Xenopus tropicalis: one gene and its partners. The protein of the gene in region 4 binds, or shares a complex with, the protein of the main gene of each other region. Links are inferred from orthologs where the notes say so. Each region holds a gene or a part of one and is shown on either strand. Other genes may lie near its edges.

The links.
Region 1: strn (region 4) and pdcd10 share a complex: the UniProt entries of both Homo sapiens proteins name them as parts of the core of STRIPAK complex. The link is inferred for Xenopus tropicalis from reciprocal best matches to the Homo sapiens genes STRN and PDCD10.
Region 2: strn (region 4) and ppp2r1a share a complex: the UniProt entries of both Homo sapiens proteins name them as parts of the core of STRIPAK complex. The link is inferred for Xenopus tropicalis from reciprocal best matches to the Homo sapiens genes STRN and PPP2R1A.
Region 3: strn (region 4) and strip2 share a complex: the UniProt entries of both Homo sapiens proteins name them as parts of the core of STRIPAK complex. The link is inferred for Xenopus tropicalis from reciprocal best matches to the Homo sapiens genes STRN and STRIP2.
Region 5: strn (region 4) and strip1 share a complex: the UniProt entries of both Homo sapiens proteins name them as parts of the core of STRIPAK complex. The link is inferred for Xenopus tropicalis from reciprocal best matches to the Homo sapiens genes STRN and STRIP1.

What each region holds. Positions count from the first base shown.
Region 1 is NC_030681.2:112,893,382-112,900,099, reverse strand, and holds the start of pdcd10 (programmed cell death protein 10), read right to left. Parts: upstream 3,576-6,718; 5' UTR 3,481-3,575; intron 2,128-3,480; exon of another isoform or gene 1,971-2,127; intron 1-1,970. UniProt on the Homo sapiens protein: Promotes cell proliferation. Modulates apoptotic pathways. Increases mitogen-activated protein kinase activity and STK26 activity. Important for cell migration, and for normal structure and assembly of the Golgi complex.
Region 2 is NC_030683.2:120,829,833-120,835,926, reverse strand, and holds part of ppp2r1a (serine/threonine-protein phosphatase 2A 65 kDa regulatory subunit A alpha isoform), read left to right. Parts: intron 1-744; coding exon 745-835; intron 836-2,025; coding exon 2,026-2,126; intron 2,127-3,243; coding exon 3,244-3,476; intron 3,477-4,526; coding exon 4,527-4,674; intron 4,675-5,435; coding exon 5,436-5,591; intron 5,592-6,094. UniProt on the Homo sapiens protein: The PR65 subunit of protein phosphatase 2A serves as a scaffolding molecule to coordinate the assembly of the catalytic subunit and a variable regulatory B subunit.
Region 3 is NC_030679.2:87,142,623-87,148,716, reverse strand, and holds the end of strip2 (striatin-interacting protein 2), read left to right. Parts: intron 1-2,024; coding exon 2,025-2,229; intron 2,230-2,490; coding exon 2,491-2,741; 3' UTR 2,742-5,351; downstream 5,352-6,094. UniProt on the Homo sapiens protein: Plays a role in the regulation of cell morphology and cytoskeletal organization. Required in the control of cell shape. Calmodulin-binding scaffolding protein which is the center of the striatin-interacting phosphatase and kinase (STRIPAK) complexes.
Region 4 is NC_030681.2:50,048,376-50,054,469, forward strand, and holds part of strn (striatin), read left to right. Parts: intron 1-1,729; coding exon 1,730-1,866; intron 1,867-2,823; coding exon 2,824-2,999; intron 3,000-3,345; coding exon 3,346-3,393; intron 3,394-4,183; coding exon 4,184-4,305; intron 4,306-5,449; coding exon 5,450-5,617; intron 5,618-6,094. UniProt on the Homo sapiens protein: Calmodulin-binding scaffolding protein which is the center of the striatin-interacting phosphatase and kinase (STRIPAK) complexes.
Region 5 is NC_030678.2:72,084,210-72,090,841, forward strand, and holds the start of strip1 (striatin-interacting protein 1), read left to right. Parts: upstream 1-2,049; 5' UTR 2,050-2,056; coding exon 2,057-2,182; intron 2,183-4,806; coding exon 4,807-4,876; intron 4,877-6,454; coding exon 6,455-6,529; intron 6,530-6,632. UniProt on the Homo sapiens protein: Plays a role in the regulation of cell morphology and cytoskeletal organization. Required in the cortical actin filament dynamics and cell shape. Part of the striatin-interacting phosphatase and kinase (STRIPAK) complexes.

The DNA of each region.
Region 1 (6,718 bases), about 63 Mb from region 4:
AAAACAAAAAAAAAAAGTGTATATACCACATATCCCAAAAAATGTGTGTAGATTTTTTTTTCCCCAATTATGGTAACTCAAAAGCATAGACAGAGAAACAAATAAAGTTCAGATGGTACAAAGCCCATTATTTTTTCCAAGTGACTGCAAAGGGTCAACAAACAGCAGAATTCTGTTGATAACCAGACCATTAAAAAAAAATGCATGCATGGTACTGTATGAACTAGAGTCTCAGCTGGAGGGGAGCTAATTTCTGCTACACTGTTTCAATAATCACACCCAGCAGTAAAGGTGGCCATACACGAGGCGATTTCGCTCGTTGTGCGATGAACGATTATATCGACAAACGATCGTATGGCGATCGAGTTCCCATACGATATGCCATCCACGGGCAACGATAATTCGGGAAAGATTTCGTCGCATCATTATCGTAAAATACGTACGATCGTACATCTACGTACGATTGAATGTCGTTGACTTCCGCTGCTGGCAATCGTGACATGCGCAGAGAGCAATCGTTGAAAGACAAATGTCTGACACTCACACCAACTGGCAGATTTTATCGTTAAACGACCAAAATTTTTAAACCTGGCCGATCGATTTTGGGGACGATAATGTCGGCTCGTTTAGTGGGCCGACGATCGTTCGTACACCACCAACTATACGATAACTTAACGATAGCATCGGATTGTTCGGGAATCGGTCGTTTGTAAGTAAAAAATCGGTCCGTGTATGGCCACCTTAAGAGTGGAGAATCATTTAAGTCTTTGCAATTAAAGGTATATTGTATAGAATGTTAGGTCTTTTGTTGCAAACCCAAAAGCAAACTTTTTTTTTTTTTTAAGCCCTTTAACTACTTTTGAGTAATTGTCAGTTAATGTAATCAGCTTATTGCCTTTGTCACCATGACAAACCAGAGCAGTAAAAAAAGTGAGTAGGATTAACACCACCCTTGGATAACTGGATTACAGATTCCACAATTTACTTTAGAAAAATAAAACCATACCCTCTTGTAAATGCATCTTTCCTATTTGTTAAACATTATGCAGAATCTGTATTGCTCATTGACTAAAGGGGGTGGGGGAGGAGGGAAGAAAAACGTAAGGAAAAGGTGATAACCTTAATGATTAACAGAGATTTACACCCTTTCCAGACACTTAAAGCCTACATGAAGAAAAGTATAACTTTAGTCAGATGTCATAAAAACCCAAAGTTACACATTTAACCATTGCAAAGTTTCAGAGTGAGTTTTCAGCCAGTATAAAGCCACTTAAAATGATTACCTGAATGCTGGATTGCTGCCATAGCCCTAGAGAAAATTTCAAAAACCTGGATAGGCAAAGTTATCAGTGCCTATTTTCAAGAAACAAAGTTATGGTTCAGTCCCAGGTGTAGTACTACAAGTAAGACATATCTGGTATAATCAATGCATAACATCACCTATACACTGAAAGTACTTCACTAAAGGCTCCAATGAGAACAATGTCACAGACTGGATCATCACCAGATTTTAATGTGTGAGCTATACATACAAGTCTTTTGGTCTTTCAGCCAGTAATTCTATTTGTAGCTGGACTGGTATATAACTGGGCTGACCACTTTCTCAAACAACTTCTAGGTCTATGAACAACCAGCAACAATTTGCTGCTGCATTCATAGCATCCTGGTTTAGCTGTGGTATGGGATCATTTCTAGTGGATGATGCTTATAACAGATCTCTGCATTATGAAAGAACATTTAATTCTAATCAACTTTCCAGTATCCATCAATTAAAAACAAAATCAATGAATTTAAATGTAAATCTACTTCTATTCCCTATCTTCACTACTAGATCTGACTCCTTAAAGACGAAGCAGAAGCTACCTTATTAACAGACCTGTGAAAGAGAATGTAAGATCCTGGTGGGAACTGCTGGAGCCTTGGCTAGAAAAGTGCTGGCTCCTGCAACACTATAAAAAAAAGAGGCCTACCAGAGAACCAGGAAAAACCATAGTGGGCCCCAGTCCACATGGGTCCCTGCATCCCAAACTCCCCTGACTCAAACCAGCAGCTGCAATTCAACCAGGTCTAAGTTTAGAGAGGCTGGGTAATGGTCGAGGAGACTGTGAGGGTGGTTGGTGTTCCCAGTGGGCCCGGGTATCCTGTCCAACACTGGCAGAAAAGAACAAAACATACTACTTTCAAATGCAAGTAAAATTAAATGCTGAAAACTGTTACTATATATTGCAAAGTTTCTCAAAAAATACATGTTATTTCCTTATTAAAATAAAATTTATGTAGAGTTTGGTGAAGTTTCTCTTTAAAATATGTAAATGTAATCACTATTGAAAGCAGTCCTTAAGCATGTACCACTAAAACATTTTTGTAATCGTCTGTACTTCTACAGCCAAGACTCCTTTTCCCACAATGACTTGCATGTTTTGCAGCAAGTAAAGAAGAAAAAAGAAAAAGTCTGCAGGGCATTGTGGGAAATGTATTGACCCTTGGCATGGAGGGAAGTACTTTACTGCAACAATGTTACAAGTATTGTAGTCAGGACCAACAATGTATAGTATTTTTAATGGTAACTGCAATTACAAATAACTTTAAAGGCCAAGGAAAGGTAAAGTTAGCAGGCTGCACTGTACCAGGCCAGCAATGATACTGGGGTGATCCAGTACTTAAGCAACATTGGCCAAGTTGGACCCAGAAGCTCCAGGATGATGGCAGCCGAAATAAAGTCATTGTCTGGGGTTATGAGGGGCTGCTCTGCATAACTAATATTTAGTAACATTTTCACTTTCCTGGTCCTTTCAAATCAGCAATTAGTGTATATTGGAAACTTGCACAGACTGGACTTGGCTTTCATTATGCAGAATTCTATATTTAGGTTTACTTCTCCTTAACTCATACCACTCACTGTTAAGTGAACATTTAGTCAGTCAGTCATACCTTCAACTTATAATACCATAAATGTTAATATCAGCACCTTTGGAATCAGCAGTTTTCTTCGCCTTAATGAAGTCGCAATCTGCTAATGAATTTGACTTTATGGCCCCCAGTAAATAGCTCGTTTCCTGGTACGGTCTCTTGCCCATAATTGTAATCATTTATAGTTATATAAATAATGAATGAATGCGTGTTATTTTGCTCTGCCAACCCCCGAGCCCGAGTCTGGCCCTAACACACAAAGTTTCTCTCTATATATAGATACTTAATAATGCCTTGGAGCAAGTTTCAGTTCTATATTATGGGTTTATGAGAGCAAGCCGGGCTCTAATGTAGCCACGGAGGAACAGACTCCTCCTAGCTCTGAAGTTTGTGCGGTGATAAATAGTAGCCTTTGGCCTGACAGAGCGGCTCTTCCTTCCTCTCACTGACACCCCAGGCCCAGCTGGGATTAGCATTACTCAGCACAAGGAAGCTCCACAAACCCGGCAACTCTCACTTCAAACTGCATCGGACCAGCCGTGACACCAGAACCAGAAACCGGAGCAATACCTGTATATCCGGAGAACAGGCGAAGCTTCACCAGGCCCAGTGTCCACAACACCCCAGAACCTTATACCCAGGCACCGGAAGTTCGCTCTGAGAAGTGTCCGCCGTCCTGAAGAAGAAACAAGGCGTTGCCCGGAATCAGTCCAAAGAGTTTACCTTTCAGGAGGCCGACCTAAACATGTGCCGAGAACATAGGGAAACGTAGTTCTTTTCAATGATCGGCGTACAACAAGACAATCACAGGTGAACTACATCTCCCGAAATTCCGTTCGAGGTAAAGGCTTGTCATAACAAAACATGCCCACTTGTCAGATAGTACGCAAGGTGGGCGGCCTGCTCCGACCAATAAGCGCTGTGAAAGTGGGCATGTGCCGTTTTGATTGGCTAGTTAGTCGTGATGTAAGACTTACCAGGGAAGCTTGTGGTGCAGCTGAAAAATCTTGGGCTGCACTCAGCTGGAGGAGGCGGTGGTGTGGGAGCAGCTACAGAGGTGAGCGGAGAGTATCGCTTTAACCGCGCTGTGTATCCATGCTGTCATGCCCAGCTGCCATGCGTCTCCCAGGTCCTGGCATGCTCTACCCAAGTCTCTCTAATTGTAATGTGCAAATGGGGCTTTTCGCTCCGTTGTATTGTGACAGCTTGTAACATAGCAGGAGATGAGACGCAGGCTGGGGTGTGCTTGTGAGTGCCGTTATATTACAGAATGGGATTTCGGTGAATCATTAGCGCATTTGCACAGGTGCAGTGGTACCACACAGTCCCTCCTGGCATGGATGTGCTTCATTCTGTATGTTATAGGGATATATAGTTATATCCACTTATAGGGAGTCATTAGCCAGAAACACAGTTTTGGTAAAGTCCAAGTCAGTAATTGATGCTTTTGTGCTGCCCAGCCCCACTGTTTGAAGAGGGCACAATGGTTTGCACCTCATGACACAATAAAGGGTTATTTTTTCTTTTTAATGTCGTTCTGCATGGAATTAGTATATGTTGGCAAATGAAGTTGTATGTGCCTAGAGTGGTTATTCGTTATAGAGCATGCCTTTGGTATGCTGCCTTGTATTATTGTGTACAGTGCCCACTTGGGAGGATGAGTATTATGTGCTCACACCTTCCACACTGTGTATTTATTGTAATTTAAATATATTTAAGTTTCATAAGCTTTTAACAAGTTCCTCCACACACAAACTGGTTATTGTATAATAAAAGAATGTCATTCTAAGCAACTTTCACCATTCGGTAATTAAAAATCTCAGTGGCTGGTTTAAGGCAGGGGTGTAACTAGAGGGGAGAAGACCTTAGGAACGTGGTGGGGCCGCAGATAGAGTTTTATGCTATGCTATGCAATAGAAATGTATTTCTGTATATAGTGTGATTTCCCTCATTCACCTTATTTTCAATGTAATTGTTTACATAAAGCTTTCTATCTTTTATTTTTTACTGTTTCTCTACAATTTAGATTTTAAAGGGATACGGTCATGATTTTTATGGTGTACTTTTTATTTCTAAATTACACTGTTTATATAGCAAATAAGAATAATTTACACTACCATTTAAAATTTTTATTCTTAACCAACAATTTTTTTTTTTTTTTAGCTGTAATATTGGTGTTTAGGCGCTATCTCAGTGCATTGTGCCTGAGTCTGAGCTTTCAGAAAGAGGCAGCTCTACACATTAGAACTGCTTTCAGGTAACCTATTGTTTCTACTACTCCAATGTAACTAGAAAGAATCACAAACCGGACTTGGATTTCTTAAGGTGGCCATACACTCTAAAGCTGGCCATACACGTGGCGATCTGACGATGTTTCGTGCGACCATCGGTCGCACAAAACATCGTCAGATCCGCCACACACCATTCAGGGCTGAATCGGCAGGTAAGGAGGTAGAAACAATAGGATTTCTACCTCCTTCTGCCGATTCAGCACTGAAAGGAGATTTTGGTCAGGCGCCTTCTATGGCGCCTGATCAAAATTTTCAAACTATTCCGATCAGCGAGTCGGCCGATATCAGCAGCTTCCTGCGATATCGGTCGACTCGCCGACATACCATACACGCACCGAATATCGTACGAAACGAGGTTTCGTACGATATTATCGGTGCGTGTATGGCCACCTTAAGATCCGCTTTCTTGGCGAGGGCGCCAAGCGAGCAGATCTTCTCCTGATAGCCACACCTACGGGTCGGCGATATCGGGCTAATTCGGACATTTGTCTCTGGGACCAAACGATTGAATTAGAAAGACGGGTATAGATGTCCCTCATTTGGGGACCGGATCAACAAGCTGATGCTGTCCCCGATCTGACTAAATTTCAAACCTGCCCGACTGAGATCAGGCCAATTTCAGGCCAGATGTCGGTCGGGCAGGCCCGTCGTTAGTGCCCATACATGGGCCGATAAACTACAATCAGCCCATATATGGCCACCTTTACTATTGAGTGCTATTTCGATATCTTGAGCTTGATAGTTACCATAGAACATATTTGAAGATAATTTTAAAGAGGCTTGATATGCTCTTCTCTTTATACTTTGCCATATTAAGCCTCATTAATACATATGCATTTAGACCCTGGCAGCCACCCGGGCAATTTTATTTTTTCTTAATACCCACATTCCAATCAATAAGAAGTAGTTTTGGGCACTTTCTCACTGTCTAAAATACACTGGTTAATATTTTAATGCCTTTATTTGGCTATAATGTTTAAAAAATCCCAATAAAAATGATTGAAACTAAAATACACTGGTTAACAACTTTTCCAGTGTGCCATCAGCCTTAAAGAAAAAGTAAAGGGCCCCTGCACAGCATCCTGTCTCAACCACAGAAACCACTGTAACTGAAACAGCCCTGAATTCTAAAGGCAGACCTGCAGAGTGGGGCTGATGGGTGGCATGTTTGGCAGAGTTATTTCTGGCCTTGGGCTCCCTGGCACTAATAAAAGCATGCACCATTGAATTTGATCTTGTCCTGGCTTCCAGTCCATATGCTCAGGATCACAGAGCCAGGGACTACAAGCGACACAGGAAAACTTGCCAGCCACCAACTGTGCTGTATAGCCATGCCTTCTGGGCTCCTGATATGTTTTTGGCAATACACAATACTGTGACCTATTAACTTACATTACAGTGTGTGTCTTTTTTTATTTTTCATATGCTGATATTCAATAAATAAATATTGCACCTCATAGTTGGTTATAAGTTGTTACATACTTCAGATGTAGTGGGACCAGGGCTATTTTGAGGTG
Region 2 (6,094 bases), on a different chromosome or scaffold from region 4:
TTGCACTTTGTCTATCATTTTGTGCCGCATTAACCATTTAAGGAACTATGCATTACAAATACTTCCCAAATATGTTTAAAGCCGCTCTCTGTGCGTGTATTTTGTAAAACTGCTTGTTTGGGACCAAGTAGGCAAAGTTGGCAGAGCATCTGTTGCCATGGAGATGGTTCCAGAGAGAGCGTATCACAGCCCTAGTTTGCCCTTTACAGTTTTATGGCTGTGACATTCCCTGTTTTGATTGGTCAGTAGTTTGTAGCTTATTCATTGGTGCTTGTGTATTGTGCAATAAACTGTACCTTTACACCAATGGTAATTAAATGCCTCTGCATCCCAAAAACATTTCTGTTCTTGTCCTAATTAATCAAAATATTGAAGAGGAAGCAAAGCATCTGTTGCTGTTGATTCTCACCAAGCTAAACCTGAGGCTTCTCACCGCCCTACCTCATATTGCTAATTATAGATGATAATGATGGTGTTCTGTAGATGTACAGTGTGGAATGGTAAATTTCACTTGATGGGTTTAAATGGTTAATGGTTTGCATTACATAACTTTCCTTAAAGAAGAGGAAAGGCTGAATCACCGGGGGGAGAATAAAGTTTAAATAAGTTTTAGTTCCTCTTTAATATGCTAATAATAGAGATTGTTGTGGTTACAATGATGCTTTTTATTACTGATACATAGAAAATATCAAGCGCCATTTTGAAATCTTGCATGCTAACTTAAATTCTATTTTGCTTTTCCAGCTTCGTCTTAACAGCATTAAAAAGCTCTCAACTATTGCTTTGGCCCTGGGGGTAGAGAGAACACGCAGCGAGCTTCTTCCATTCCTAACCGGTAAGTCATACGCTGAGGATTTGCTGGACTGAATAGAGAAACCTGTTTCACAAAGTTAAAAGAAAAGCTGTGGTATGAAATAAGGAATACTTCCTGTATTGCTAAATTCAGTTTTTGCTGGGCAGCAACCAGACAGAACAGCAAGAGCGCTTCTCTTACACATGCATTATATTAGCAGTGCACAATTGCAGGTATGGGACCTGTTATCCAGAATGCTGGGGACCTGGGGCTTTCCGAATAAAGGATCTTTCCGTAGTTTGGATCTCCTAAAGTCTCCTAGTCTGCTAAAAATCATTGCAGTATTGAATAAACCCAATAAGATTGTTTTTGCCTCCAATAAGGATTAATTATATCTTATTGGGATCAAGTACAGGTGCTGTTTTATTATTACAGAGAAAAGGGAATAATTTAACCATTAAATAAACCCAATAGGACTGTTCTGCCCCCAATAAGGGGTAATTATATCTTAGTTGGGATCAAGTACAGGTACTGTTTTATTATTACAGAGAAAAGGGAATAATTTAACCATTAAATAAACCCAATAGGACTGTTCTGCCCCCAATAAGGGGTAATTATATCTTAGTTGGGATCAAGTACAGGTACTGTTTTATTATTACAGAGAAAAGGGAATCATTTAACCATTAAATAAACCCAATAGGGCTGTTCTGCCCCAATAAGGGGTAATTATATCTTAGTTGGGATCAAGTACAGGTACTGTTTTATTATTACAGAGAAAAGGGAATCATTTAACCATGAAATAAACCCAATAGGGCTGTTCTGCCCCAATAAGGGGTAATTATATCTTTGTTGGGATCAAGTACAGGTACTGTTTTATTATTACAGAGAAAAGGGAATCATTTAACCATGAAATAAACCCAATAGGGCTGTTCTGCCCCAATAAGGGGTAATTATATCTTTGTTGGGATCAAGTACAGGTAATGTTTTATTATTACAGAGAAAAGGGAAACCATTTTGAAAAAGTAGAATTATTTGGTTATAATGGAGTCTATGGGAGACAGCCTTTCTGTAATTCGTAACTTTCTGGATAGCGGGTTTCCGTATAAAGGATCCCATACCTGTACTAATATAATGAAAACAAAAAAAAAAAAAGAAAATAACGGCAAAAATGCTCAGAAGTGTTGGTATATGTCTCCTTTAATCCTCATGATTGACCTTCCATTTTTTTTTAGACACCATATATGATGAAGATGAAGTTCTTCTTGCTTTGGCTGAGCAGCTGGGGACCTTTACTTCACTGGTGGGGGGACCAGAATTTGTACACTGCTTGCTGGTGAGTATTTATTAGACTCCAATACAAATAGACTCTTCCCCAGTAATTATATAATTAGAATATTATAATTCTGTTTAAAGTGGCTGTTTGTGTTCATAATAATGTTTTCAAAAAGTATAAAATATATTTACTCCAGTAATTGAAAATAGGGGCAACTTGCTTTTTATTTATTTTTTGACCATTTTCTGTCCGAGTGTTTACGTTTTAAAAATCTTAGCAAGCCAAGTTGTTGGCTGTCTAAACTGAGGGGCTACCTACACACATAACAAGATTATAAATATAGGAAACTATAGGCATATCAACCATTCAGCTAAAGCTTTAAAGGAGAAGGAAAGTAATTTTGGCATTTTACTGCCAATAGATTTGCCACATTAGTGCCACCTAGAGCGCTATATTTATTCTGTAGAAACCGTTACCATACTTGAGTAAACAGCTTTAGACACTTTCTCCATTTGCTTAAGATAGCAGCTGCCCTTTTAAGTAGCTTCCTGCCTGCAGTCTAGCTGTTATAGCTGAGATCACACATTCCTGAGGGAGTTCTTATCATTCTGGTGGGAGGGGGAGCAGGAGAGAACTCTGGTCACCTTAATTAAGGCTGTTTCTGAGAGAGGAAGTCAGACAGTGGAACATCATTTTTACCAAAAAAAAGAGACCAGAAATCCTGTGTTTCTTTTGATAGAGGACTCAGTGCAGTGTTTCTGTGAGTGCTTATGGCTGTATTTACATAGTCCTTACTGATAAAGCTTACTGAGTATTTACCTTTTCTTCTCTTTTAAGAATAAGGAAATATGTTTTACTGTTTTTACTCTAATATACCTTCAGGCTGGTCTTTTCGCTGTATTTAGGTGAGCAAATGGGCAAATCTCACGTTAATTAGTATGGAGACTATTTCCCTCCCCCTTGGGGTCCAGCCTGGGAACCACTGATTTAGATGGTTGGGGACCTGATTTAGATGGTTGGAACAAAAAAACTATTTGTTTTTTAACTTTAAAAAGGTTTTGCAAAGGTACTGACCCTTTAAACATTTGATTAAAAAATTGGTGAACAGGAATAGCGCTGGATTTATCTACTGAGTTATCTATCATTTTCTAACCATCTCTCATTTTGCCTTGAAAAGCCGCCATTGGAGAGCCTGGCAACAGTCGAGGAGACCGTAGTAAGAGACAAAGCCGTTGAATCCCTCCGTGCCATTTCTCACGAGCATTCACCTTCTGACCTTGAAGCTCACTTTGTGCCACTGGTAAAGCGCCTGGCTAGTGGAGACTGGTTCACCTCCCGCACATCTGCCTGTGGCCTCTTCAGCGTTTGCTATCCACGTGTCTCCAGCACTGTAAAGGCCGAACTTAGACAGTGAGTACCACCAGATTGTGGCCTTACTTAAATATCATACAGTTATCCAATAAGCAGTGTCCTATACATGTATTATTATAATGCATAACATTACTAAACACATGACTAAAGACGATTATAACTATTATACTATATATCTCCCTGCTCTCTACAATGGGTAATATTTACCCATACACAAATGTATCGCACATTCTTTCTCATTGTAGTGAGGGTGAGGTTCTACTACTGAGTACTCCAGCAGCCAAAGGGTTATACCCCTTTTTATGGCCTGCTGGGACATTCTCCTTTCACCCTCATTACCTTATGTATGAGGTGGGACCAAATCATTAATGACCCCCTGTGGTTGTTGGTTTTAGGCCCATTTTCTGTAATATAATATTAGTACAGTGCCAGTACCCAATATTATAGTGAAAATAGGGGTATGCAGTGACCCATATGTGGGTGATAAGGATGATACCAAACATGAGGTGGTAATCCCTCCTAAATGGTGGGAATAAGCTGTCCCTGTTTGGTATCATTAGGAATTGTGTGACCGCCACACAACCAATATATATGATTTATGAGGAGGTGAACCCTATATATGAGGTGAAATGGATCCTTGTCTTTTTCCATAAATGCTCCCCCCTGCAGCCCTAGGTTCACAGCTCCTTCCTTTGATCCACAGTTCAAAAGAAGTGACTGGCTCAACTTCTTTGCCCAAATGGTGTCACTCCGAATTGTCTCCAAATTCAGATATGAATATCATGTTTGCATAGCCCTCCTGTGAAAGTGTCTAAAGGGACTCTTTGCAGACCTAATACCAAATGTTTCCAGTGTTAACCCTTTACAATGCCAGAGCAATACTACTCTGCAATGACCAATATTTTAGTGAAAGCTGACAAATATATTATTCATTATTGCTAACAAAATTAGGGGGAATAATGCGAGTACTATAATCTTTACCTACTATAATCTCTTCAGTCCTTTTAATGAAAACAGTTTTATTAAACGTTGCAATAAAACAGCACATTTTCATTATATAAAAAATGCGCACATTCTTTTTCTCTATAGGCACTTCCGAAACTTGTGCTCAGACGATACTCCCATGGTGAGAAGAGCCGCTGCTTCCAAGTTGGGGGAGTTTGCTAAAGTTTTGGAGTTGGAAAATGTGAAGAGTGAAATAATTCCCATGTTTTCCAACCTAGCATCTGATGAGCAGGTAAACTGATTGCAGGTCTTGCCACATATATTCTACGAGAATGTCCTGAATTAGAACATGTATATGTGTGTATATATATATATATAATATACATGCCGCCATTAAGCAAACTGAAAGCTTTTATTGCAGGTGAGGTTCTAACAATCGACTTCAAAATATCTAAAGACTGAAAACAGTTTGCAACTTTAGACACGGGCAGAAGCATTATTTATTTATTTTATTTATTTGTGATCGTTTACATATACTGTACATTACTTTTGTAAGGTTATTTTAATCTATTAACTGATTGATTGTAGCCATGGAAATATATATTTAAATAAATGTGTGTCTGCATGTATGTCTATATCTGTCTATAAAATATTATGGATTAGCACCCTCGTGTGAAAATTGTAATTTATGTACTATTGTACAGCATCTGTGCCCAAAGTTTCTGGGACCCTTTCTGTGAAACTTCACATATATTACATACTTAAGTGCTTTCCCCTAATAATGGTAAATTGGAACCAAATGGTATCGTTAATGAATTATTGAACTGTAAGTGCTTTTCAGTCCAGAAGTTGATACCCTATTTTGCCACAAGGTGTCACTATAAATGTTCAATCATAGTTTATGATACAAATTACTTACAAATTTAAATTATACTTTCATACACACACTTTCTAACTTAGTACCAATACTGTACTACTATACTCCGATATTTAAACCGTTGTTTATGCTTGTTTCTGATTTTTTTTGTTGTTTGTAATTCTGGCTTTTCCCAGGATTCAGTGCGCTTGTTGGCAGTCGAGGCTTGTGTAAACATTGCTCAGCTTCTACCCCAAGAAGAGCTGGAACCACTGGTTATGCCCACACTGCGCCAGGCAGCTGAAGATAAATCTTGGAGAGTAAGATACATGGTGGCAGACAAGTTCACAGAGGTAAAACCTTGATTAAAATTACAAAAAGAATTTGGCTGGGGTTTTTTATCCTTAAATTTATGTTAATGTTTACAAAGAATTAGATCTACTTTAGGTGTTTCACTGTAGCTGTTTTGAGCCTAGACTTAGTAGGAAGTGGCAGTGGACTGGCTGCTGTTGGGATCCTAATGTGAAATTTACCACTGCATAAAGCAGAGAACAGTAGTTTACGCTTTTCTCTACCTTTAACTCTTGCCTAGGGATGCCCTAAATCTGCCACGAAAGCTATGGCTAAATCCCGAACTGAATCAAAATTCACATACGTAAATTGGCTAAATTATGGAGGGTGACATTTGTGGACAAAAATTTGTCAACCTTTGGTCTGGCATTGTGATGCTTTTTTAAATATTCACAATAGTTAGAATTTGGGTTTGGTTTGTTCAGGCACTCATTCATCTAAATCAGGGGTCTCCAACCTTTCAATCTGCAGTGCATGTATTGTGATACTTACAAGCTGCCACATC
Region 3 (6,094 bases), on a different chromosome or scaffold from region 4:
TAAAAGTATTTAGAACTGATATCTTTAAAGTGAAAATTTTGTTTTACTGTTCCTTTAATGCAGTGATTCCTGTGGGGACTCCTGTCTGGACTAGTTTCCAGGAAAAGTGTGTTGCCCTTTAAAGTTTCCACATCATACCATGCTGTATTTTGAAAAGTATGAATTGTTATATATCTAAGTGTCTGTGGCAAAATAATTATGTTTATGGACCAAGCAGAGAAGAACTTTTTAATGTGTTGTTCCTTATTAGTAATGGTTTCCAAGCAGTACATGTGAAAGATATAGTGTAGGTTATTAAACGGCGAATAAAGTGCAGTCTTTGTTCAAGTGAAGAGGTTTCCCAGCCATCTGTCTCCAATAGGAGGTCGTGTCCAGCCAAAAATATTAGATTTTAGGGCAGAGCCAAAAACTATTTAAGAGGTTTGCCTTGGTAGTTTGGCAACGGAGACATCTGTCTTAGGAGAGAGATTTACCATCTTAGTGTGTTTTTCAAGGGTTAGGTATGAATTATGGAGCAGCTGTAGGCCCATTTTTTTAAATCTACTAAGTAATTTTGAAATGTGTGTGAAGTTTTAGGATCTCTGTTAAAGTGAATTGTGGTATTACAGTTGTCCATTTAAACAGAGTAATTTCTTTGATATCTATGTTTGCATGTGAGTGGATTTTATTATATAAATGCACGGTCATTTTACAGTCTTGTATTTCCAAAGATTGTTTATGGTGTTGTTCTTGTCTATATCCATTCGTTTGTATGATGCTTGTCTTGTGAAGTGTAGGATTAGAAAGATACAGTATGTGAAGATGTAAAGGAAATGTTTTCTTTAATTTATGCTTGAGAAAGCAGTATATAGTTCTCTTTTGTATAATCTTGTATGGTCTGCTGTCCATTATCTCTACTAGTGTGAAGAAGGGAGCTATACAATTCCAAAGGGAAACTCAAAAATTCTCACAAAAAAAGTTTTGTCTGCATGGCTAAAAGGAATTTATAGGGGACATTGTTGGAAGTAATGAAGATGGTTTATTACTGGAATGTTTTGTACACCAACTGTTTTTTTCTGCAGCAGTTGGATTGCAGAAAAGATCCTATGCCTGCCATGTAGCTTCACTTTAGGGTTAGTCCATATGTGTCCTTTAAAAGACTTGTCATGGAAAATACATTTATGTTTTTTGTATATAATGTAATCTGTATTTTAAGTCACTTGTGTTATTGGTAAAGGTATGGAACCTGTTACCCAGAAAGCTCAGGACCTTGGGTCATCCGGATAAGGGATCTTTGCATAATTTGGATATCCATACCTTAAATCTACTGAAAAATCATTTAAACATTAAATAAACCCAATAGGACTGCTTTGCCTCCAATAAGGATTAATTATATCTTAGTTGGGATCAAGTACCAGGTACTGTTTTAGTACTACAGAGAAAAAGCCCATAATTTTCGAAAATTAGAATTATTTGCTTATAATGGAGTCTATGGGAGATGGCTTTCCCATAGTTCAGAACTTTCTGGATAATGGATTTCCGGATAAAAGATCCCATACCTGTATAAAGACCTTTCTATGCCCAAGGAAAAGCTGGCCGACCTATTTCACAGGGGGGGGGGGCTAACATGTTGGCATGTCCCAGTGAAATAGACTCTACACATCTCACCTCTGTAACAAAAAATGTGCAAGGGCTCCATTCATGGACCCTAAAAGGCAAAACTTTTGCACCTAGGCATGGTTAATGACCACTTTTATGTGGTCTGATATATTATGAGAACTTCGGGTCTCATATTGCCCAATATACTTAGCTCATAATACATCTCTGTATGAAGCCCAGTACATTCCTACTGCCTGAATTGACTTTAGCAGTCCTGAGTATTATTTAGTCCTTGCTAAACTTTTGTATACACATTAAGAAAATCTAAGCTAAATTTGCATCTTGATTTTTGTAAAATTATTGTGTCATTACCCTTCAGTTTGTATGTTAACCTGTTTGTACCTTGGTTAAGTAAAATGTGGCCCTTAACTCTGCTGGTTCTTTAGATGCTGGTGGTATTCAAATCTGCTCCCATTTTAAAGCGTGCACTGAAGGTCAAGCAGGCAATTCTGCAGCTCTATGTACTGAAACTGCTAAAGCTACAGACCAAGTACTTGGGAAGACAGTGGAGGAAGAGTAACATGAAGACAATGTCTGCCATTTACCAGTTGGTGCGTCACAGAATGAATGATGATTGGGCTTATGGCAATGGTATGTATCTTTCTTTGCATGGGAGGCAGGATTAATGACAGTCAATATTACACATATCAAAAATATCTGTGATATGATATTTGACCAGCACCAGTAAATGCTACCTGCTGTGATGTAATTAGACCAGTAGCAAAAACTTAACCTATTATTACATTATTCCCATTATTTAATAATTTGCTTTGCATATATCAGTGGTTTAATTAAACCTTTTTATATTCGCCTCCAAAAAAATTATGTCTTTATTGTATATTATTTTATTAGACATTGATGCCAGGCCATGGGACTTTCAGGCTGAGGAATGCACCTTGCGTGGAAACATTGAGAGATTCAACAGTCGGAGATATGAAAAGAACCCAAGCTGGGAGTTTGCTCCAGTAGATAATTGTCTACTAAGTGTAGTGGGGCAGACGCTGGAGCTTCCGGGGGATTTTCATTACACCTACGAGCTCTGGTTAGAAAGGGAAGTATTTTCCAAGCCAATCCACTGGGAAGAACTCCTTCAGTACTCATGACAGCTCGCACAACAGTGTTTTGATGTTTAATAATCAGCTAACTTATTCTGCTATGTTTTGTCTGTGACATAGCACAGCAAATGAAAAAGTAAGAGCCATAATAAACTAAATGTATGTAAAAATGATCAATGGACTGCAGGTGTTTAAGAAATGCTTGTAGGTATAGACTGTGAATTCTGGCAAATTCCAGAGGGGCTGCTGTAAGATGCCACAGACAGTCACTATTTATTAGGGGGAGGTTTGGACCTTTGTGTACATGAAATGCAACTCTTTACATTGAGAAAGTATTACCTCTAATGAACATACAATGTAATGGAGCCCTTTAACTGATTAAACAGAGCCAATGTAAAAAAAAAAAAATAAGTTTTTGCAGCAGAAAGATAATTATGATCATTTTTGTCACTTGCAGTAGCACAAAATTGTTTTCCTCAGACAGCAGAAGAACAATGCCACTTCTTAAAAAGCTTTACAGTGCATACTATCCCTAGAAATGGAAAATATACACATATAAGTGTATTGGTATAAAAACTTAGTCTGCCATGGTGCAGAGAAGCTAATGAATTGCTGATATGGGGTAATAAGGGATAAGATTCTGTCAAACATTGTAATTCACAATACTATGACTTTGTGCCAGCATGGATTTCCTGTATGACCAATAGATCTTGCCAAATACATTTTGCAGAGTGATTTGGCTAAATTGGAAAACTGGGCAGCAAATGGGGTCCGTTGTTGATATATGCAAGGTTATGCAGAATTAATTAATGTGAGTTATACACTAAATGGTAGTGTGTTGGGAGCAGTGCCGGGCCAAGCAGGCCAGGGCCCTAGGCAACCTGGTCGGCTTGGCCCGCCCACTGCCAACACCCCCCCCCACCCCCGTGCGCACAGGCACATGTGCACACAGGGGGGCAGGGGGATTACAGGGACTGCTGCACTGTCGGGGGAAAGGGTCCAGAACCGGTGGTAGGTGACAGAAGAGGTACCTGCCTGGCACCCCCCCACCATTGCGCCCTAGGCAAGGGTACCCCTAGTTCCGGCTCTGGTTGGGAGGTCCTTAATTGAGATTGTGGATAACAAACTATGTAACTGTAGGCAGTGTCACTCAGTGGCTACTCAGTCTTGCATGAAATTAGCATTAACTCAAGGGCTGAAAACATAATTTAGCCTTTTTCTAGGTGCATAGTAAGGCCTCACCTAAGTTAAGTTGGAGAGAGTGCAGAGATGTGGCACTAAATTTGTAAAAGCAATGGAACAATTAAATTGTGAGAGTATGAAGCATAATTTAATATAATAGCTCCAACCCCCCCATTTAACTTTAACATTCGCTTGTTTGCAGCAGGGGGATACATAGGGGTCGGGGGCCTGCTGGTGTGCGCTGGACCCTTGAAGATGTTGTAGGGGTGAGAGGAGGATGCTGACATGTTGTATGAAGTGCAGGATATGAGGAACTACCATACAGAAGACTCTGCACTGCAGACCTCTTGTACCCCACGCCCCCTCAGGCTATGAAAACTGGCTTTATTTTTTGTCAAAGTTAGTCTTGTTTATTGTGCGTTAATCACTTAAATTGACAGTTAATGGGCCCATAAAATCACCATTTTATTTGGTCTACTATTGATCAGGCTTGGCTTAAAATGCCACTCAACCATGTCTGCATGAGGCTGTGGATGCATTTTACAGCGTGACCCTGTGCAGGTTCTCTGGGCATCTGGCCCTTGGTCTTAGGGCTAAATGATTGGACAATCCTGATTTAAACCAGTAGATCTTTCTGTATGGGGCAAGGTGGGGCAAGTTGAACACTTTTAGATTAACTTTATGCTTTGGGGAAAGCAATAATAAACACAAAATTTTAGGGTTGTGTCTAATATACAGAGGTGAATATTTTAGTTCCACTCTACATTACAGTTGGAGGGTAATAAAACCATGCCTCTGTTTACTTTACATTTATGAGGCAGGTGGGAGAGAGGTAGTAAGCAAAGTAAAAGTGGGTCCTGCTACATATGTATTGTTTAACACTGGCAATAAAAAATCATAGTAAATATATTTTAATTATAAGCAGTAAGTTAATTTAATGGGTTCATCGAATAAAGGTGTACATTGTCATATATTTAAATACAAGATGATCTGTACCTATAGATATTCTGTTGCTCAAAACAAATGAGTTATTTTCTGAATGGTTTTTCCTTACTCTGGTGTCCAGATCATCTTTTTGCTACCTGTTGCTAAATGGACTTGAAGGTGTATTCAGTGCCTTAAATACTTTGTCTGTCTTTAGAAAATCCAGTAAATGTGAATAGGTCCTGTGATTTTATGCTGATGCCATGATGACATTTATCTATGAAACTATTCAGTGGCCTTGCAGTTAGCTGCTGATGCACCCATAAAAGCTGCCTTGTTTTCCAGTGCACTGCTTCATTTTAGTTTCTCCCTCTACACCCTTCCAACATACTGTCTAATCTGATAACTATCCTTAAACATGATGTTGTATTAAGAACTTGTATAGTCTTACAACCAATTTACCTTTTTATATGTACTTGTCTTATTAATAAGTTGCTTGAATATATATGTAATAAAGCTGTAGTATTTGCAATAAACTCAGTATTAACTTGCCCTGGTTTAAATAATATACCATGTAACTGTTCAAGAAAAACCCCGCCTGAAGCTTTCTCCGCACAGATGTAAAGTTAGGAATGTGGTCTTTATTCTGGTCCACTGAGTAGACTATGCCTTAATAAAATGGTGTTTAGCAGTATGGGTAATTGGTTGGTCATAGTAAGAGAGGCATTAAATGTGTTCAAGCTTATGTATTAATGTAGTGGCAGTCCAATAAGGTTTAATTAAATACTTTATTCTTGAACCAACAAATGTATTTTTTTAGTTGTAATATTGGTGTGTATACAGCCATCTCAGTACATTTTCCGAAGGAGAAAGCACTACACAATAGAACTGCATTCGAATAAGCTATTGTTTCTCCTCCTCCTCAGTGTAACTGGAGGTGTCATGACTTGGCTGACCTGGACTTGGATTTTTACTATTTAGTGCTATTCTCATATCTACCACTAGTTGGAGCATAGCACCATTTTTAGCAATACAGGTGTCAGGGAGCTGTTATCATGTTACCTTCCTATTGTTTTACTAATCGGCTGCTGGGAGGGTGATATCACTCCAACCAGTAAAGAAAGACTAAAGTTTATCAAAGCCCAAGTCACATGGCTAAGAGCCCCTAGGAAACTAATAATATGTCTAGCCCCATGTTTTGAAATTACATTTTAAAAAATCTGTTTGCTTTTTAAAAATTTGATTTCAGTGCAGAATTCCTGATGGAGCAGTACTGTTATCTGATGCATTTTGAA
Region 4 (6,094 bases):
GACTTCTCTGTAAAAAGAAACAGGATTTATTGTCTTTGTTTTCCTGTGCCAGAGTCTGCGCAGCTCTCTCCCTTCTCCTGCTGCCCCCTCCCTCAAGAATGCTAAGAACTCCCTCCCCCTTAGGAATGTGTGATCTGAGCCAATCAGCAGAAAGCTGACTCATAATCTTACAAACTGCGCATGTACACCGGTCTTGGTGCAGGAGCATGGCATTATGGGAACTTTCTTTACAGAGCTCAGTGGTTTTTTTTTCCTATGAGGCTTCTGATCATCTGAATGGGAGAAATATGGGGAGACACAAGGGCACTGTTGAGAGAACTAAAGGTATGCCTACAGGTTGAAAATAACTCTTTAATAGCCTTTCCTTCTCCTTTAAGTGTAATAAAAGTGGTTTCCTGTTATGCACCACTATTGTGACTTTCTGAGCTGAATAGTGTTTTTATTATTTTGCACCATTAGGTATCTCTTAATTTGAGAGTATTTCATCCATTAATGTGCAGGTAATGGAAACTGTTGCTTAAGTCTATCAAAAGAAGCCATTGTTCACCTTTGCCAAGCATCTCCTATGGTGAGAATACCACACCCTTCCAACATAAGGTTTTTTCCCAGCTTAGCAATATTAGGAAAGCAGACATTTTTCCAGAAAGGGGTCTAAGGAAGTATATTAGTAAACAGCATTAGTTGGACTGTTTTTTTGGCAAACTTGTTGCACAAAAATCACAACATGATTGGTACAGGTAGAGCCCAGCAATGTGCTATGACGTTGGTAAACTGACTGATGATTTGCGTTTTCCACCTAAGCTGCCAAGTGGCTTAATTGAGCCTCAGTGTAGTACAAAAAGATATTGGGGAAAGCAACACTTAGTCAAGGTATTTAGTTGACAAGGGCGGGAGCCTCCCCAAATCAGCTGTGTAAATAATGTGACAAAGATACACTAAAGACTAATTGGGCAAGGGGCTTGCCAGAGACCATAAGTTAGTTAGGGAAGGAGTATCACCTTTTTAAGTTGTATTCTACCCATTGGGCCTATTAAGAAAGATTTCCAAGTTTTGCTTTTGTTAGTTATGAAATCTTTTAGCAGAAGTATGTTTACGTTATAGTATCCAGAAATAGGTAGTTTGATCACTACCCCCAAATAGGTAAATTGATTGACTATTGGGGAAGGTTGGATCCACAGGTAGAATAACTTACTTATTTAGCAGCACTTGTAACAGCACCCTTAATTTGAGCAAATGTGGTGCTTAGGCCTAGGAGACTTACCAGGGAAAGTCCTTGATCACCCAAATATACTAAAGTATTGTCTGTGCATAATTGTATATGTTCTCTTGCACGTGAAATTGGGGTGTTGTCTAATTGCTTGTGCAAATGGCTTCATAGCTAGGGCAAAGAGCATTGGGGACAGGGGGCATCCCTGTCATGTGCCCCTTTTAAGTGGAAATTGTTCACTATTGGAGCCATGGACCACTATTGAGGCCTTTTACAGAAGTCAGGACCAAGGTAAAAAAGTTTCAGAGTGCGCCACAGATGAAGGGTAGATGTCTAGTGAAGTCAAGTTCTGAGGACATTTTTCTCCCCAATATGGTTTTATGCAGCTTAGTTACCATTGTAAAATTGGGAAATTGATCATTTTAAATTATTTGCTTTACTTGACACTTTCTGGATATTGCGTTTCCACATAAAAGATCACATTCTTTTAAAAGTAACAAGCGTGTGTTGTCTTTTTTTCAGTGGAAGCATTAACTTTTCCACCCTCATCTGGAAAATCTTTTATCATGGGAGCAGATGAAGCTTTAGAAAATGAGCTTGGACTTGGAGAGTTGGCTGGACTTACAGTTGCCAATGAAGCAGATTCTTTGACATATGATGTAAGTTCTCCTTCAGAGGGAAGAATTATCAAATAATTTTTACATAAACTGATATTTGCTTTTCATTGTTATTTATGTTGTTTAGAAAGCTAAGAATAGATTGCATTATGTCTTTTTATAGCTGAACACTTAATTATTACATTTTATGTACCTATGATGGTTTTTGATCGATCAGTTCAGTTAAACTAAAGAAGCCTCTCAAATAAGCTGTCACACAGTGTCAAGATTACTGAGCAAGTCCAGTTGACTTATAATTGCCACTACTAGATATACTGATGTCTCTTTTTCCTTTCTGTGTTTTTCTCTTGAAAGCTGTCATAGAGGAGCTGTGTGTTGTACAATGTAAAGGGCTAGTTCACCTTTAAATTAACTTTGAGTATGATGTAGTCAGTGATATGAGATATTATGAGATCATTTTTTTATTTAGGTTTTTTTAGCTCTACAAAATGAAATTTCAAAAGCTATCAGGCTGCTACGGTCTAATTTATGCCAGCAACCAGAGATTTTTGTAACGGACTGAAAGATGCAGCAGAGGTTATCAATATAATGATAAGCAATTAAATAAAAAAGCAGCCCTTTGCTGCTGTAGTTACGCCAAAGACCCCAGACACCTAGATAGCATTTTAAAATGCAGGCTGGAAAAAAGCAGAAGAGAAGGCAAACAGTCCACGTAAAAGGATTCTAAGAATAGGACTATTAATAATGTATTTAAAGTTAACTTTAAGGTGAACTACACTTGCAAAAAACAGTGGAAGTAGTTGTTAGAAAGTTATTATAGGAAATGGATTTTATGATCACTATATTTTAGGCTGTGATTCAAAATATTGCCGTATGGTTGGTTTTACCTTTAGGAGGTAGGTGTATTATTTGGTTATGTAGCATTGTTAAAGTTATTTGTATATAATTCCTTTTTACATAAAACTATAAAGATGTGTGAGTTGTCTTTTCTCTCTCAAGATTGCCAACAATAAGGATGCGTTAAGGAAAACATGGAACCCTAAATTCACATTGAGAAGTCACTTTGATGGCATACGTGGCCTCGCCTTCCACCCTTCAGAGCCAGTGCTTATTACAGCATCAGAAGACCACACTTTAAAAATGTGGAATCTCCAAAAGACTGCTCCAGCAAAAAAGTATGTTTGTGCTTAAACTATGCACTGTTTTTGATTTTTATTACCATAGTGTGTCCTAGGCAGTACTGACAATTTCTTTCTTCCATTGCACCTTGTTGGTTGTAGCTCCTCTTCACTTCATGCAGTTTGGGCTGTTAGCCCAAATAAATGGAAAGATGGAATGTGGTTGTCCATGTTTATGACCAGTCCATATAGTATCCAGCCTTTTTGCACAAGGGCTGATTGGTCAGATACTGTGGAGGGTTGACCAGTTTATGGCCATTTATTACACTCAAATAATTTTTGCAAAAAAACTATAAAATAGACAAGTCAGTTACATATATAAATTACACTTTTTCTCTTTTAGGAGTACATCCCTTGATATAGAACCAATTTACACATTCAGGGCGCACAGGTAAGAAACAAGGTTTTCTTTTTTGCTAATGTTTCTATTTAGATCACCGTTTATATTTGTGGTAATGGGTAAAGTTAAAGATTAAGAGAAATTTTTAATAGCTGTGCAGTAAAATATTTAGGCATTGATTAAATTAAATGCATCATACACCAATGACTTTTCAAAGAAGAGACTATATTTGAAATATATGTTTTTTTAGTCCCTTTTATATTAAGGTATTTCCTAACATGGTAAACTGGTGCCTGTTGTATTTATCCGCTTGAACCGCAGTGTAACAAAGGTCCATAATTTATGCACATGACTGCCTTCAAATTGAACATGTTCTAAGATTAATTCAAGTTTGATTTGACTTATTAAATCATATATCAGTGTTTAGTATCTCTCGCTTGTGGCAGACGTGTGATCAGTACACTGCGCCAATTTAATGTGCTTGTGCCCGTGCCATTGATGAGTTGATGCCACATGCATAATGAGCTAGTAGGGAGACTCTCTCATTAAAAGGGTTTTAACCTTCAAATTAACTTTAAGGATGGCAGAGTCATTAATATTCAATATTGATATCCTCAATAGGTGCTCTTTAAGGTAAGGCAGTAAAATATCTAGAATGGCTAGACATTGTACTGGATTAGAACTAGTGTTATTTGACTGCGCCTAAGTATCACCTTGCAAGCAATATTTTCAATTGTCAGAAGTAATTGCTGATAGGTTATTTTTATCTTCTACTCAACGTTGAATTTTGTTTTTTCGTGTTTTTAATTAATTACTCAAATAAGCATCCTATCCTTTCCAGGGGCCCAGTACTTTGTGTAGTAATGAGCAGTAATGGGGAGCAGTGTTACAGTGGAGGAACAGATGGTGTTATCCAGAGCTGGAATACTCCTAACTCCAACGTGGATCCATATGATTCTTATGGTATGTTACAAACTTAGCAGTTTGCAGCAGAGGGACATCAAAACTCATCATATTCATGCACTTTTTCACAATTTTTAAAATCAAATTTTCTGTTTAATGGGTAAAAACAAACTTAAAAAGCACATATGCCCCTTGTTCTTCTCAGTGCTGATGAGATCACAACACAGTGCATTGGCTATTAAAGGAGAAGTAAACACAGCCTTTGCTATAACGACCAGTATATTGCCTTTTCCACTCCCAAACCCCATTGGTTTCTCAGGATTTGTTTATGCCTTTCAGTTCCGACTTTTGAAACAATGTTGCAAATTAAAGAAGTGCACAGATTGTAAAGTGTTAATAAATAACCATATCCAACTGAAATATTGGATATTGTTTAATGTGTATTAGAAATTGTTTAGTGTGCTGCTTTAATAAGTCAGTGTACGATTATTCCATGGTATTTACAAATGAGCTAATGGACAATGGTTGAGGAGTAAAACCAAATTAATTATTTTGAGGTACCGTACTAGCATTATCTTTTAAGGGAAGCGACTTTGTGTGATGCTGAGCAAGTTCATTATGGCATTCAGAATCTTAAAGTGGACCTGTCACCCAGACATAAAAAGCTGTATAATAAAAGTCCTTTTAAAATTAAACATGAAACCCAAATTCATGTTTATATTAACACATCAAAACCCATTATAAAGGCAATTAAAAATCCCAGCTGTCAATCATACATTGCTTGCCCCGCCTCTATGCCTTAGGCATAGAGGCGGGCAGTGCACATCTCACTTTTCCCCTCCCTCCTCATCATCTAATTGTGTAGCCAGTGCATGGGCATAGGCATCTGGTCCCCCATTCTGGCACATAAACAAGATTTTGGCATGATACAAAGCTTGTCTTCATAACAGTGTCCACAAAATGGTGCCTGCCTGCTTGCTTTGATTGAGTAATTCCAAGACTGAAGGAAACAAGATTTGTATTATTTATATAGTGTAAGTAAAGTTTATTTTGCTAAATAATTTGGAGTTATTTCTTAGGGTGACAGGTCCCCTTTAAGGCAAAGCAAGTTTTGAGAGAGAGACAATTTTAAAGTCCCTGTGTCTAGAATAATGCTGTTGAATGTATGAATGTTTGCTTTTTTTTTTTTTCCCCTTAAAAACAGACCCTACTGTTCTGAGAGGAGCATACGAGGGCCACTCTGATTCTATTTGGGGATTAGTTTATAGTGCAGTACATCAACGTTTATTGTCAGCCTCTGCAGATGGAACAATACGAATCTGGAATGCTGCTGAAGTCTCTCCTGCATTAAGCACATTCAATGAAAACCAAGGTAATTCAATTAACATTTAAAGTAGTTGATGGATTCTTTACATTATTTTCAGTTTTTTTTTTGTGTTTTTTGTATAATATTTTATGGAAAAGAAGAACAAACCCCGCCCTCCCTGCATTACTGTCAAGTGTCCCTATCTTTGTAGCTGCTATAAAAGTGCAGAGTTGGCAGGTGCCAACTACTACAAATACTACTTGTATATATTTGTAAGTCTTTCTACTATGCAAGGTATATTTGTACTTAGTAATCCAGTGGGAATGTATCATGCTGCCAGTAAACATAATTTTAAACAAAATGTAATAAATATGCAAACTCTAAAAGCAAGTAGCCTTGCGAATCGTTTGTTGCCTCTTCTATATGCGGCAAACGCAGACAAAATGCAAGCGACCTTTCTTTTTTTTTTTTTTTTTTGGCGTGGTACCCTTTGTTAGAGAAAATGTGACAGAATATTTTCTTACAAGTGAGAATCACATTGTT
Region 5 (6,632 bases), on a different chromosome or scaffold from region 4:
CACCCCCCCCCCCCCCCCCACTAAAGTCAATACTTTGTAGAGCCACCTTTTGCTGCAATTACAGCTGCAAGACACTTTGGATAAGTCTCCAACACATTTAAATGTTTCCCCTTAAACCACTGTAACCCAGTCTCAAATCACAGGCAGACTGACACAGGTTTTGCTCCAGAATGTCCCTGTATTTAGCACCATCCATCTTTCCCTCAATTTGGACCAGTTTCCCAGTCCCTGCTGCTGGAAAACATCCCCACAGCATGATGCTGCCACCACCATGTTTCACAGTGGCGATGGTGTTCTTGGGGTGATGTGGGGATGTTGGTTTTGCCCCAGACATAGCATCTTCCTTGGTGGCCGAAAAGTAAAATTTTACGCTTAGTGGGCACTGGGCTGACTAACAATGTTTTAGGGGGTCCCTGCCCTGGCCACAAATGTTTTAGGGGGGCCCTGGCCACAAATGTTTTAGGGGGGCCCTGGCTACCAATGTTTTAGGGGGTCCCTGGCTATCAATAGTTACATAGGGTTGAAAAAAGACCAGTGTCCATCAAGTTCAACCCATCCAAGTAAACCCAGCACACCTAACCCACACCTACCAATCTATACACTCACATACATAAACTATAAATAATCTCTAATCTAAAGGGGTGACCTCTGGTGCATTGATTGTTTTTATGGGAAAAAAGAACATCCCCCATCTGCCTATAATCCCCTCTAATGTACTTGTAAATCAATGTTTTAGGGGGCCCTGGCCAGCAATGCTAACAATGTATGTGTGTCCTTTGTACTGATGGGAGGGGTCACTGGGGGCGGGCACATGAGAAGAGGGGGGCCCAGAAAATTTTGTTGTGGGGGGCTTCATGATTTCTCAAGCGGCCCTAAGTGTGTATATATATATATATATATATATATAATCTGTTCTTTGTGTTTGCTCAGTTTCCCTTGTGTAATATTACATTTAAACTCGGAAACAACTCGCTTTGCAAATATGCAGTACCAGGTAAAACAATGGAGCAGCAAATACTTTTTCTCATCACTGTAATTACAAACTAGGGTGTATGTTCTATGGCCCCATCCTACTAAATTAGCAGGGATCTCCACCTTCACCAGGGGGTCCCAATTAATAGTCTGATGGACACCTAGGCCCCCTGAATGGTAAGCCCTGTCTCAAGTAAAATAGGGCCTCAACGAAACAAAAATTGCCCCTCCTATACAGTGTGTTCTAACCTGTCTCTAAGCTTAATTTAAGACAAAACTCCAACAAAACCTTGCCCACTCATCCACAAGCCCCATCCCTTTTAAGAACCTGGAATCATGCCTTTTCATCTCAGGACACCTGACTGCTGATGTACGTGTACTCCAATAATGATTGCCCATTATCAGGGGCCATTTAGATAACTTAAAAATGTAAATTGTGCATTTCACTTATCTATGGATAGCTAATGTGTGTTGCCTCATTTTACAATTTTACTTTTTAGAAACATCAGGTGCACAATTTGCAGCGCTCATACCCTAGATCTGGACACTTCCTTTTGCTCAATTGTATAAGCACTCTGACAACGTTACAAGAGTTTCTTCTACTGAAATTTTCTGACTGTAGTTTGGTTGATAGAACTGACCAGCAGATGGTGCTATTATTTCAATTTAGACGCATTAGCTGTGTAAAAACGTTTACCAGCTTAAAATCTATGAATACCTAATAAAAGTGGCAAGAAGCCCAATTTTACATGAATGTATTTAGAGTTAACGTTTCCTTTAAGGGTAGCCGGCTTTCAAACATCGCTGTAACTGCAGAGAATACATGGTTAGATATATAGATAAATGCAGGTCTCAGCAATAAAATACATGTTATGTAGACAGGAATATACAAAACACTGATTATCACACTGGTGCCGATACATCAGTCTCTATAAGCCGCCCAGTTTGTCAAAGAAAGGGCGAGACTCTTCATACTATCGCGATGTTTGGAAAGCAGAAACAGACACGCCTTGGGCTTTGCGTTCCACCGCAAATGTTCTACTGAGACGGCGGTGTCACGTCACGTGGGCGTCGCCTGAGAAAGATGGAGGCTTCCGGTTCTCTGATTGTCAACAACAAAATGAGAACAGGAATCGGTGGTGCGGTAATTGGCAGCCCCCAACCGGGCAAGGGACGAGAGTACAACCGTACACAGCGCAAGGATTCAGAGGTATGAGTAAAAGTGGTTGTTATGTATAACTATATTGCATTAACATTTGTGTTTGATTAGTACTCAGTTATCCTCGAATTACCCTTGTAATGTAACTGTGTGCCAGCTTTTATGCTTACTTAGTGACCGGGGTATGTCTGGGGAACCTGTGACAGGAAGACAAGACAGTTCTTACCTGATTAAAAAGCCCATTCCAAAAGGAATCTCACATCAGTTTTGCGAACTATTCTAAACTGCTGACTTGTCTTAGTTTTACTGTTCACCAAAAATATATATTATAGTTCTTCGTGGTTGCTGTCATGTTAATATAACCTATAGTTATCAAAAATATTTAATTAAATCTCCGTCATCCTGAAAGTTGAGCATTTCATTTAGAATCACACATTATATTCCTGTTCTGCAGGAAGATGCTGTGACAGAAAGGCACATGTACCTCTGCAAATGTAGTGAGAAAAGTGCAGTTTTGAGCGTAATTGCTGCAGGTTTTTGAAAAAATGTTGCTTTTTCCCCCAGAATTTGAGTCATTGTGGTTCTCAGTGGAGTGATACGCCTGGCACAATTGCTCTGTCTATTGCAGTTGTATCTGATTTGCAACTGTGTACCCAAAATTGGATGCAATTGCGCCAAAATCCAGCTGGCGTCAGTTCTACTGTTTGGTCTGTACCTGATTCTTTAGGTGCAGCAAGTGTGTGGCAGCTCCAGGCTTCCCCTGGTGCAGCAGCTCTCAATTTGGAACGGAAGGTAGGAAGGAGAACATAAAAGTGGTGCTAGGTGCAGCTGGTTGGGGGGAAACTGGGGACCACTATTGCACTCGTGGACGTAAATGAGCCCTAAAGTGTTCCTGGAAATATCATGCCCATGTATTATTCAAAAAGTTGAATTTAATGCAAAGCTAAGATTTCACCACTTGCACCTTTCTCAGGGTGGAACAAACAAATGGTATTTGGGAGCAGCTGTGCATATTGTAAAAGTAACTGAGGAGAGAATTCTTTGGGCTGTAAACATGATTCAGACTTAAGAAAATAGTATAAAAATGTACCACTCTGTCACATGGTTTCACAGAAAATGCCTGAAAGTTAGTCTGAGGGTAGAGGGCCCTGGGTACTCATGAAAATATTTCAATGAGCAAAAGATCTCCTAGCATGGCCTTGCTTTTACTAGTGAGATTTTTTTTTTTTTATTGGTCTGTGTTTACTGCTTCATCACCTGGGGTTTACAATTGCTCTCGTAATGTGTTATGCTATAATGTGACCCTATTCCACGGTTACTCTAAAGAACCAGGTTGCAAAATGAAATCACTTTCAGTTTCATTGTTTTCCCTGTTAAGTAAAAGAGCTACTGAAAATATTACCTAAGCAAATTAGCCTTTGAGGAAAAAAGGTGTAACACGTACAGTGTCTGAACATCTATGAATAAAGTTAGGTCTCAAAACTGATTACATTTAAATCTCCCAGACTACTAAGAAATATGGTTTTGTTTGCATCAGTCTTATGAGAAAGAATTGATATCTTTCGAAGTTATAATTTTTTTTTTCTTTCCAAGAGTGCAGTCATATTCTGTGACTAGTTGCAAGTGCATTGAAAGCTGTCCACACATAATTCAGCGTGGAAATGCAATAATAGGTATTTGTATTTGCTCTCTGTGAGTGAACAGGTATATCCCTTGCCTAGAAGTGCACACAGAGGGGGCAGAAGGCAGCAGATCAGCTTTTCTCTGCTGGTGTATCTACAGCAATGGGGAAAAAAAACATTCCATGTGCCATTAGGGCGAATGGTCGCAGCGACTTTCCCTTCAAAGGATCCTGTATATGTTGCTGCGACTAATAGCACACAGGTTTTCGCTGCGTAGAGAAATCGCAGCGACTTTTTAAAGACTTATGCCGACTAATCGCCTTGTGTGTCTTCACCCTTAGGGCTCTGGCACACGGGGAGATTAGTCGCCCGCAACAAATCTCCCTGAAAATGTAAATCGCCGGTGGGATGGCATAAGCGGCGGCGCGCTTTCACTGAAATCGCGGAAGTTGCCTTGAGAGGAAACTCACATTTTTTTTACATTTTTGCCGGTGGGATGGCATTTCTGGGAGATTAGTCGCCCGCGAACAGGGAGATTTGTCGCGGGTGACTAATCTCCCCGTGTGCCAGAGCCGTTAGCCTTCCAATGTTTTTGGATAAAAGGTTTTTTTTTATGACTTTCTGGGCTTTTGTGTCCAAAGAATGATCAGATAAGACATCCTCTTACCACAGATATTAGTTATTTGATTTAAAGGGAAGGTCTGAAAATTGTTGTTAGTTTGACTGTTTGGGTATAATCTAACAATCTGATAATGATAGAACAATTTGACTGGTCCATCTCCCAGTCTCTCCTGTGAACTATCATATTTCCAAGACCGCAGTCTTCATGTTGATGATTTATTGTTCTACAGTATACATCAAAGATGACCATTTGTTGGTGATACTATTTACATGCCTTTTGTAATTATTTTTATGTGTGCAGACAGAAAACATAAATATGCCATAAAGTGTTTTAGCTGTTTGTTGCCAACTTGAATGATAAAATAAATTTAAAATTGTTGCACTGGGTTTCTTTTTTTGTTTATTTTTTTATGGCACTTCTGTTCATTTTAGGGCTATTCGGAGTCTCCGGACCTAGAGTTTATATATGCTGATTCTGACAAGTGGGCAGCAGAACTTTCAGGTAAATTGTAGGGCTTCATCTTGGTCATCTACACTAAGTACAATAAAAATATTACTCAACTTATAATTTTTTTTACCATCCTTTTACTTTCCTACTTTCCAACATAAGTGTGCATAGTTGGTTCTCTCACAATATGCAAAAATTAGTACAAATATAACTGCAATGCTGCTTGCTTTTGGCTGATGCATTCTTCACAAACAAACAAACTGCTACCATTGTGTAAACTTTTATCAGCTGGTATATGAATGTATTTTCTCAGTACCACTTTTTTTATTAAATAACATGAAAGAATTGAAGAGCCTTTTTAGCCTATGTCTTACACAGTAATTACAAGTCACCAGTTATGTCATAGGGAACTTTCAATTGTGCATGCTGCATGTATTCTTGTCATTAAGAGAGTCACTCATTCATACAATCATATACCTGATTCAGTCATTACGTGTTTGTTGTCCCACACCAGCATGGCCCAGATAAGTACAGGTATTGGGATCACTTATCCAGATACCCGTTATCCAGAAAGTTCCAAATTACGGAAAGGCCATCTCCCATAGACTCCATTATAAGCAAATAATTTTAATTTTCTAAAATGATTTCCTTTTTCTCTGTAATAATAAAACAGAACCTTGTACTTAAAGGAGAAAGATTTCTTGTGTCTGTAATTCATGTGCCAGAGACATGCAGTTCTCTGCTCTCTCCTCTATCCTGCTTCCCCCTCCCTCAAGAACTTACTCCCCCCCCCCCTTTAGGAATGTGGATCTGAGCCAATTAGCAGGAAGCTGACTCATAGGGGCACATTTACTTATTTACGAACGCGCCGAGCGTTTTTTCGATCAGGCCATTTGTATTTTCCGCAACTTTTTCGGTGCTTGCGCGACTTTATCGTATTTTTCGTGGAAAAAAATTGGATCAGTTTTGCCACTGTTTACAATCGTTCAGTACAAAAATTTTGTGACTTTCGGATCGCCAATACGATATTATCTTGGCTAATACGATTTTTTCGTAAGCATTTTCATGATATTTGTGATCTTCAGAAATTTTCATTTCCAATCTGAATTTTTCCCATTCGGGATTTGAGCTCGTGTTTTGATAAATCTGCCCCATAGTCTATCTAACTGAGCATGTTCACTTGGTCTGGGTGTCTGTGCAGGAGTGAGGCATTATGGGAACTTTCTTTACACAGCTTAGCGTTTTTTCTTCCTGTTTGGCTTCTGATCATGGTGAAATATGGGGAGACTTAAGGGCACTACTGAGACAACTGAAGGTATGCCTGCAGCTTGAGATTAACTCTTTATAAGCCTTTCTTTCGCCTTTAATCCTAACTAAGATATAATGAATCCTTATTGGAGCCAAAACTATTCTATTGGGTTTATCCATATTTAAAGCTTTTTTAGCAGACTTAAGGTGTGGAGATCCAAATTACGGAAAGATCCCTTATCCCGAAAACCCCAGATCCTGAGCATTCTGGATAACCGGTCCCATACCTATACAACTGATAGTTCTTCATCAGGATACTTGACTTTATGTTTAAATAAAGTCTAAATAATGTTCTTTTTTCTGTTCCACTGTTCTTTATCACAGAATTGTACAGCTATACTGAAGGTCCAGAGTTCCACCTTAACAGAAAATGCTTTGAAGAAGATTTCCATTTGCATGGTGAGGTGGATTAAACTTTATTCATTCATTCATTATATATTATATAATATATATATATATATATATATATATATATATATATATGTATATATATATATATATA